Danio rerio: one gene and its partner. The protein of the gene in region 2 purifies or fractionates together with the protein of the main gene of each other region. This does not show direct contact. Links are inferred from orthologs where the notes say so. Each region holds a gene or a part of one and is shown on either strand. Other genes may lie near its edges.

Region 1 (4,965 bases), on a different chromosome or scaffold from region 2:
TTTGATATTGCTGTCGTATCTGAAGCGACTACTACAGCAATATATCTGTAAAGTGTAGCACACGCATATTTAAGTTGCCTTATATTCTTGCCAACCTACAGTTAGAAAAATACTCACCAACTCAGTCTCTCTTTCTCCCACCCTATGATAGTGTCTTAGAGAATTTGTATATAGATATTTAAATACATATAAATTATATTTTAAATGTTTTTCGAGGGTTTATTTCGCACGAGTGGCTTGCAGAAACCCACCCATTCTTCCAGCTGGTTTTTTTTTTTTTGTATCGTGTAAACTTCAGTTGGGATGGTAAAGTCTGTACCGTCTCAGACATACAATTGTATCAATCGCTTGCTCTTCCAAAAATTGAGCTGTTTTGTGTGTATGTGTGTGGTCAAAAGAAAAACAAGCTGTGTGCCCCCCTTCGATAGCAAAAGAGCATGGCAAAATGTGAGTATTTGCATTGATGTACAGCATAGACAGTTACCTCTATGAAGAAGACCACCACCAATGGACTGATGTGTGTACATTTTGTTCAGAACCTTCAAATAAACAACTTGATTCACTTGGCTTTTGTTTTTAAAGTGATGAGATATCCGGGTCTAGTGATCTGAAGAGAACCACACAACACAGAGTGCTTCTGTTCTCAACACAGATTTATTAGCAAACCTTTAACAAAGGCAATTTGTTGGAAAGCATCACAATAAAAAGTGGGCAAAAAAAAAAAATTTGGTCTCTAAAAAGTCATAAACCTAAAAATGTACCATTTGGCACAAATATGTAACTGACAAATAACCTGGAAAGCATAGTGTATGGGGTGGAGGGAATCGAATATGGAAGGCAAAGAATGTAGGATTACGCATTTCTGTCAATCCTGACGTCAATCTCTCTGCCGTTGAGCCGGTAGCCGTTCATGGTGCGACAGGCTCGCTCAGCGGTCTCAGGATTGTCAAAGCGCACCACACCACAGCCCTTAGACTTCCCGTTCTCCATCTTTATATCTGCATACTGAACCATGCCTGGACGGAAAAACACACAGAAAATACATTACAAATGTTGACAGAATAGAAGTCTGGGTTTAGTAGGACTGGAAAGACATCTCACCACAGGAATTAAAAGTGTCCTTCAACATCTTCCAGGTGAAGTCAAAGGGCAGCTGGAAAAACAAATGAATTCATTATTAAAGAGTGGACAGAAACATCGTTTCCTGACTGATGATGCAACAGGCTGTGTGGGCGGCCACAAAATAGTGACGGTTTTCACTTTCTAATCAAATCCTGCATAAAATGAACTTGTTTAATCTCACCAGTCAATTATCATCATGAGTTTGAAGAGTTCTGAAGATTTTCTTATTGACTTTAGGCAAGAAATTTAACTTAATACATCAACTTCATAGAAGCAGGATCAGTTTACAATTGATGCAAGAGGTATAAATTTGTTAAGTCTCAATTGTGAAATGCAGTTAACAGTTAATTAAATGAAAACAGAATACAACTTTGACTACAGTATTCAACATTTGACGTGTATCTAAAAAATAATGACCATCAAAGTTGTCCTACAACTAGTAAACACCACTCATTGTTTTAGGACGATTTTGAAAAACACGTTTATCCACTTCATATTAGTGTTGTCAAGATACTGGAAATCAGTACCAATAGATAACAAAATTCTAAACCGTCCATTTCCCGCTAAAATTCGACCGCACTCAGCGGATTGGCTATTGTGCTCACATGCTCGACAAAAATGACTGTGATTGGCTGTGAAAATCATCAGTTTACCAAACTCACCGCTGTTTACTGAGTGGAACCACAGATACAGGAACACTGAAGTGTTTTAAAGTCACATCAATCATCTGGTTTGTCTACAAGCTGATGAATCATGACTTTAAATTGCTCCAGCGTCCTTGTATCTGTGGTTCCACTCAGTAAACAGCGGTGAGTTTGGTGAACTGATGACCTTCACAGCCAATCACAACCGTTTCCTATGAGCTCAACAGCGCTCAAATGCTAGCGGGAAATGGCCGTTTTTAAACTTCAGTATTGATTGGTACCAAATTCCAGTATCATGACAAGCCTACTTTAAATGTTGACGACTGTCTGCTATTGCCCACCAGTTTCAGTTTTAAACTTGCTCATCATAGTGTGGTGTTATTTAATAAATATGCAAGTGCATGTACACAACAATATTAATCCCATTGTTCTTGGTTTAATCCTTCCCTACAGTATTACCCAATAATAAGAATACTGTCTGCTTACATTTCTGACAAAAATCTGGCAGCCCTTCCTGGCATTGGCTCCACCAGACCCTGGTCCTCCTCCTTGCCCAGACCCGCCGAATGGAGAACCAAAGTTACCACGGTCCATGTCTCCGGGCCTGTCAAACTGGCCACCGATGCCACCAGATCCCATTCGATCCATGCTGGAGCCCATGCGGTCCAGACCCGAAGAGAAACGGTCCATGCCACCAGAGCCCATGCGGTCAAAGTTTGAGCCCATTCGATCGAGACCTGTGTTCATCCGGTCCATGCCCATGGGAGAAGCAAAGTCCATTCCACCGCTCATACGATCCATGCTGGACGAGCCCAAGCGGTCAAAGCCACCAGGACCCATACGGTCCACGCTAGTGCTCATGCGGTCCAGGCCTGAACCCATACGATCCATGCTGGGGCCGAGACGGTCAAGCCCTGACCCCATTCTATCAAAGCTAGAACCCATGCGGTCCAGATCAGACATGCGGTCCATTCCTCCACCTCCTCCTCCCCCTCCCATGCGGTCCATTCCTCCACCTCCTCCTCCTCCTCCCATACGGTCTATTCCACCACTAAGCCGATCCATGCCAGAATTCATGCGATCCATACCCATGGAGTTTCCTGGGAATTGGAAGATTTTAAAAAATGGGTTTACATATTGCACATTTTCATGTACTTTACACAATTCTGTACAATGTTACTGACCCATTCCTCGATCAAAAGAGTCTCCAAAGTTGCTGCGGGACATTCCCATGTCATTACGACCACTGAAATCTCGATCAAAGCCACCACCCATTCCACGATCCATATCTGAAGTCAAAAGAAAATAAAGCTTTACTCTCACTTCAACTAGAACAATTAGACAAAGACAAAAAATAAACTGATTTCATACATGCATATAATAAAAATAAAACTCATACCATTCATTCGTCCCATTCCAGAAGGTCCGAAACGATCCATGTTGTTCATGCCGCCACCACCACCGCCGCCGCCTCCAAAATTGTCCATGCCTGAAGTCATAGATAAATTATGCACCAAATTAAAACTCACAAAAAAATCTTTAATGCAGTGGATAAGTAGTGTAAAAAAATTAAAAAAAAATTGTTGGGGATAAAAAGCCTCAATATAAAATGAAATACCATTATTAATTAAACAAATCACAATTCAGATCACACCAAATTTACATTGTCACGACTATTTGTCAAAATATGATTTTGGCATAATAAGTTAGATGTAGAGAGTCTTAAGTGAATTAGCAACGCCAGTGTTTTGGGATGCATTTCTCTTTTATTTGGTGTTTTATTGGACAAGCCATGTCTAAGATACTGCAAAACATCCCGACAAAGATGGGCAAGTTTTTTGTTTCAGTAATATCAGAGATTGACTGATAAGACTGCAGATGCTGTTTTGCACACAACCTTCAAACATGGCCATGTAACCTCCTTAAAAAATAATCTGAAACAATGCCTATTGTGACAAACACTTACTATGAATGCAACAGAAGTAGGAATAATAATAATAATAATAATAATTTAAAATCCTGCACCTCTTTAGAAGAAAATGTATAGATCAAGACAGCTTGGGCATTGCCTTTTCTATCAAACTAAAAACCTTCAAAATACAGCATGCAAATCAAATTCAGTAAACCCTACTGATATGCGATAAAAACATGCCCCGAGGGGAAGGAGGGAGGGAAAAAAGGGCTTGAGATGTCCCATTAAAACACATACCTCCCATTCTACCCATGCCACCATAGCCCATTCCATCCATTCCTATGGGGAAAATGAATTGATGAAGGGAGAGGGGGATGATGGTCAGTGCGGGAGAACATGCAGAAACAATGCATACAATTCAACAGGAGACATGCGTTTACCTCCTGGCCCCATATTGCCCATCCCGCCACGATTGAGCTGCGTAGCATCAATGGGTTGACCGCCGGGTCCCAGACCAAGACCAACACCGCTCAAACCACCTGGAGGAGATTGTGGAAACTGGTTTAGAGAAGAATTGCAATGAAAATTGCTAAATGTGAAGGCAGCAAATATAGTTAGCACTTACGAGGAAGTGCTGGAGCACGCTCTGGGGGTGCAAAGTCTCCTTTTGGAAGGGATTTCTCATCCTAAAAAGACAATGACCGATTTGAAGGGGGATTTGGAAGAGTTTAGCAAACATAAATCACTAAATCAGCTCGTTTACTTACCAGTTTGACATGCATGACCCGGTTGAAGAGGAGCTGACCATTAAACATGGCTAATACAAATTAAGGAACAATTTTCATCCATTGTGTACATTTATATAGCATAACTTCATTTAAACCAATAGCACAAACTATCATGAAGGATACAGACTGCCTGAACAGCCTCAATAGGCATGTCAAATGTGACCGTTCCCATGCCTCTGCTTTTCCCATCTTTATCCTCCAGGATATCAGCACGCACGACCATACCGGCCATCCCGAACACCTCTTTCAGTTTCTTCCATCCCACTTTGTAGTCCAACTGTGCAAAAAAAAAAAAAAAAAAAAAAAAAAAAGCCACATCAATACTCAGCGGGCACATTTTCAGAATCTTCATATGGTCCACAAAGGGTTAAAAATCTTACATTAGCCACAAAAATGGTGCTTCCAATTTTTCCAGCTTGGAGGCCGTGGATGACCTCGTTGGGAATGTTAGGGTTGTTCATGAGACTGGGAGGGATGTTGACCATTGAAGAAGAACCAG
Region 2 (4,965 bases):
GCCAGTGGGCAAATTTGGCCAGTATGCCGGGGTTAAACGGCAACTATTTTTTGAAGGACATCCTGGGGTTTTTAATGACCACATTGAGTCAGAACATTGGTTTAAGGTTTCATCCGAAAGACGGCGCTCACTAAGCAATAGAGAATCCGCTTCACTATACTGGGGTGTTAAGACCCACACAGACTGCAGGATGTGTACTCCCTGCTGGTCTCACTAACACCACTTCCGGCAGCAATCTAGCTTTCCCAAGTGGTCTCCCAGCCAGGTGCTGACCTGGTGTAGCCTTGCTTGGCTTTAGAGGGTGACCATGTGAGAGTTGAGAGAGCTAGCTGCCGGCCAATACACATTTGATGAATACATAATACACATTTGACGATCTTATTTTACAATGATTTACTAAAGATGCCCATTTCAATGGTGCTAACAGTTTCTAAACAAAATAAACAAACAATATGACTGTTTTTAGAGAATCATTTGATGACATTAAAGAATACTATTTAATGATCACCAGAAAGAAGTTCATAATCCTTTCAACAGTTATCACTTATTCTGCAATGCATTGTCATAAACATCAAAATAAATATAACGATTAATTTTTCATGTAAATATACCCATTACACTGAATGGCGATGAAGTGTTATTTTCACCCATATGCTAAGCTTTTATTTGCACAAAAGTTATTTGAAACATTAAAGTAATTATAATTGGCTTTTGGCGGCATAGTGGCTCAGTGGTTAGCACTGTCACCTCACAGCAAGAAGGTCACTGGTTCAAGTCCCAGCTGGTCCAGCTGGCATTTCTGTGTGGAGTTTGCATTGTCTCCCCACGTTCACGTGGGTTTATTTCAGGTGCTCCGGTTTCCCCCACAGTCTAAAGACATGCGGTATAGGTGAATTGAATGAACTAAATTGGTTGTAGTGTATGAGTGCGTGTGAATATAAGAGTGTTTCCCAGTACTGGGTTGCAGCTGGAAGGGCATCCACTGCATAAAACAAATGCAGAAAAAGTTGGCGGTTCATTCCTCTGTGGTGACCCCAGATAAACAAGGGACTAAGCTGAAGGAAAATGAATGAATTGACTTATTATCCCTTATTCCTATCATTATACTGAGTGACGCTAGTGGAGGCTCAACACACACTGGGAACTAATTTAACTAATTAATCATCAAAACAACTCACTACAGTGCAAATTATAAACATGTATCATCTTGCTTACTGGTGAAAACTTCACATAGTAAAAATGTTACTCTCATTTCTTAATCAGTACAATATGTTACCCTAGCAGCAAAACAATAAAAAAGAAGACTTTATCAAACTATAAAGAGGAATGTAATGACACAAAACAGAAACAGACACACTACACAAGTTGCAGAAGGGTGTGGCAGAGAATCCAACAGACATTTCCCAAGCACACACAACACACCCACATTCACACCTCACATACCTGCTCCACTGAGCAACAGACATGGCATGCGTGTGGTTTTAGTGTTGTTGTTTTTATGAAATCATTTCTACTTTGGTGAGAATATCAAACCCAAATCCCAAGGTTTAGAACTACAGGGATTATTTGTTTAAAGCCATGATAATAATTTAAATTAAATAAATTTCATTTTAATTTAAGAACACATCAAACAGAGTAAAGCTCTGAGCTGTCAGCCTCAGTGACAGGAGCAATAAGCAGATGTGCAGTGTAGAAAACTGCCGTCATGGTTCAGCTAAATTTAGCCAGGGACTAGGCTGAGAGCCCAGGGGCAGGGGATAGACACCGTCCTGCTCTTTAGGGTTAAACTTACAGTATCTCTAGGATGTGTGAAAGAAATCTCAGAGAGCAACAGAGGACAAGCACTTGCATTAGCCACTGTCTGCAGCTTTTGAGTGTTTTATGGATCAGTAAGCCACACACCGTTCTGAAACTAATCCTAGTGGAAATACTGTTGGTTCCAGGGTGGAATGAGTCACAGTAATTGCCACTCATGTAACTGCAACTTTAAACTGCAGACTGGTTTACTGGTTTGACTGGCTTGCTGGTTTTAAGAGACTTTTCATTCAAATTTAATTTATTCAATATTTGAATAATTGTTCATACATGACCAAGTGTAAGCTTGTCCGATATTGATTCTTCCCTGTAAAAAACGATTAGTCACCTTACATAAAAAGTAAGCACAATGACTTAAGTGCCTTGTTGCAACTTAAGGCAACTTATCTTTATATTTTTATAATAATACACATGGTTCATTTACCCAATCATTTTATGAAAACATGTTAACTGATTTTTTAAAGTCAACAAATCCCTTAAAATTATTTGTTTACTTTTGATCACTTTTTAACCAAAGTCAACTAATGGCTGTAAAAGCAACAGGTTTTCTAATGTTTTTAAAGGCAAATAACCACTTTAAACGGAACCAGTTTACTTTATTGTTATAAGCAAAGTCAACTAATTGCTTTAAAAGCATCAGGTTTACTAACACTTTTAAAGTAAAGTCAACTAATCGCTTTTACAGTGTCGTTCAGGCTCAAGCTTGTCCTTTATCTTCTTGAATTCTTTGTTGGCTATGCAACTGTGCTGTTTTCTAGACTTGCATATAACATTATTTCATCTTAAAGTTAGCTGTTGGCTTACTCCACCTATGGGCAACAAGAAAAATATGTGATGTATGCCGTGAAGCAGATCGTACTGTTCTGCTCATAGACGTTTCTATATTCGCTTATGTTTCTGCTGGCAGGGGATGGTTGAGGCAGTGTGTACTGTGTATTGACTCCATTACCTAAACTTGCATGTGTGGTTTTAGAGACAGGTTAGCAGAACATGGTAGATCTACACAGAAATGCCAACTGACCCAGCCAAGGCTCTAACCAGTGACCTTCTTGTTGTGAGGAGAGCATGCGACCCACTGCACCACCGCGTCGCCTATCATATCAATATTTCTGGGAATTTATTTCAATAATAATAAAACATTTTGATAAGTACAACAACAACAAAAACAAAAACAACAGTATTTGGTGCCAATAACCCTCTCATAATTAGTTACTATTCATTGAATCATTCATTCAAATGATTTGTTCAAAACTGCTAGTTTATTTAGAAACAAATCCAGTGACTTCCTTTATATATGGATCAATTAATCAATTACACACAAGTCAAACAAAAACAGATGGATTGAAAAATTACAAATATTCTGCTCCATGGCTCGCAAAATCTAGTAGCCCAAAGTCCCAAAGCTATTGTTTTTTTTTTCAGTCAGGCTACCAAAATCCATCTACACTGTGCCCAGTGGGTTATCTAGTGGGCATGGTGTAGATCAAATTTGGTAGCCCCACTGAAAAAACAATAGCCCCGAGACTTAGGGCAACTAAATTTTGTGAGCCCTGTGTTCCTGCATAGTTTGAATATATTTTCATCAACAATATAAAAAAGCTTTTAATAATGTGTCTAAAATGTAAGTTTTATGTAATAAATCATTACTGAAATTCAGAAAAATAGCATGCTTGTTTTTGTGATATCATTACATTGTATCCTATAAATACTGAAAACAAAACTCCATATAGGGATAACATTCAACTTTCTAATAGCCTTCATACTCTTACTAATATCAATGTATAAAACTTTTACATAAAAAAAAAATGAACACATACCTGGCCTTCAGCTCCTTGTAGTCCTCACGCACTTTGCTGAGCTCCAGTTGCAGTCTGGCTCGTTCTTTGGCCACCGAGTCCAGTGTTTTCCTGGCATCTGCGAGTTCAGCCTCGTACGCCGCTTTCATGCCACTCAGCTCCCGGCTGATCTCCGTCTCGGATTCAGTGATGCGCATACGCAGACCTGCGTTCTCCACCTCCAGAGAGCGAACCTTATCGATGTAGACCGCCAGACGGTCATTCAGGTTGCTCAAGTCCTCCTTTTCCTGCAATCGAGAGATGCGGGTAGGGGACAGGACATTGGTCACCCCACCGCGGCTGCTTCGTTTCTGACCTGGAGTCTCCATGGTTGTCTGGAACTACTGATACTAGAATAGAATAGAATAGAATAGAATAGAATAGAATAGAATAGAATAGAATAGAATAGAATAGAATAGAATTATTACAACCCTTTCTAAATAAGAGCATAAATCAGATGCTGTTTGGAAAAGTTGCCAAAAACCCAACCTCTCATTTAAATGAATAGGGAGAGGGTTTCAATAAATTGAACAATGACTGTGTTTGAATATAGGATAGAATTTTTTCATAAATAATATGTTCAGGTATCTTTTAAAGTCAAAGTCTGTCTGTTTAAAAATGATGCTGTGATTTATTGTGCTAATAAAAAAGAAATAAACACAAATGCTGCAAAAATAAGTCTATTTGGTTTATCTCTCTTTCAAAAAAAAAAATCCAGGAGCATCCCGACAAACTTTTCCTGAATAAACATTCAAATAAATCTCCAAAATGTTCCCTCTTGAATACACAAACCCAGATAAGATCTTAACCTCAGATAGGGTTTATACTGTATACATTGCAACTTATCTCAATTAAAGTATCCTGACCCATTTTACAATCGCTGAAGTAAAACAACTAAAATTGGGGGCGTCACAGTATTGAAGTCTGAGACTGTAAGTTATTATGGTAATAAAAATAAAATAAATGCAAATCCAAACTCCATCCCTTTTCTGTTCCCTCCCTAACTTTGCGTCTTAAAGTTTCTGCCATGCCCAACCACTGATCTCATCCAAGAGCATTCATACAAACATTCCCAGCATAAACATTTATTAAAAACCTTCAAAATGTTCCTTCCTGGCTAGACAAACCCAGATAAGAGAAATGGGGTTTATCCTGCATTCAACTTATCTCACATAAAGTATCCTGACCCACTTTAAACACGATTTGCACAGATACGCATGTCAAAGTCCCACTGACAAGAGCTCTGAATGCATGTTTGCTTTGGGCTGTGGAAGTAATTCCAAACATCACAATGTGCTTAGACGGCACATGTGAC

The links.
Region 1: the proteins of lmna (region 2) and hnrnpm fractionate together in Homo sapiens (co-fractionation; 3 studies listed by BioGRID, with this or other methods). This does not show direct contact. The link is inferred for Danio rerio from reciprocal best matches to the Homo sapiens genes LMNA and HNRNPM.

Annotation. Positions count from the first base shown.
Region 1 is NC_133197.1:17,230,500-17,235,464, reverse strand, and holds the end of hnrnpm (heterogeneous nuclear ribonucleoprotein M), read right to left. Parts: coding exon 4,847-4,965; intron 4,744-4,846; coding exon 4,590-4,743; intron 4,496-4,589; coding exon 4,446-4,495; intron 4,365-4,445; coding exon 4,304-4,364; intron 4,218-4,303; coding exon 4,119-4,217; intron 4,018-4,118; coding exon 3,976-4,017; intron 3,256-3,975; coding exon 3,166-3,255; intron 3,056-3,165; coding exon 2,951-3,055; intron 2,867-2,950; coding exon 2,253-2,866; intron 1,154-2,252; coding exon 1,102-1,153; intron 1,017-1,101; coding exon 853-1,016; 3' UTR 636-852; downstream 1-635. UniProt on the Homo sapiens protein: Pre-mRNA binding protein in vivo, binds avidly to poly(G) and poly(U) RNA homopolymers in vitro. Involved in splicing.
Region 2 is NC_133191.1:33,779,399-33,784,363, forward strand, and holds part of lmna (lamin), read right to left. Parts: intron 4,001-4,965; 5' UTR 3,980-4,000; coding exon 3,633-3,979; intron 1-3,632.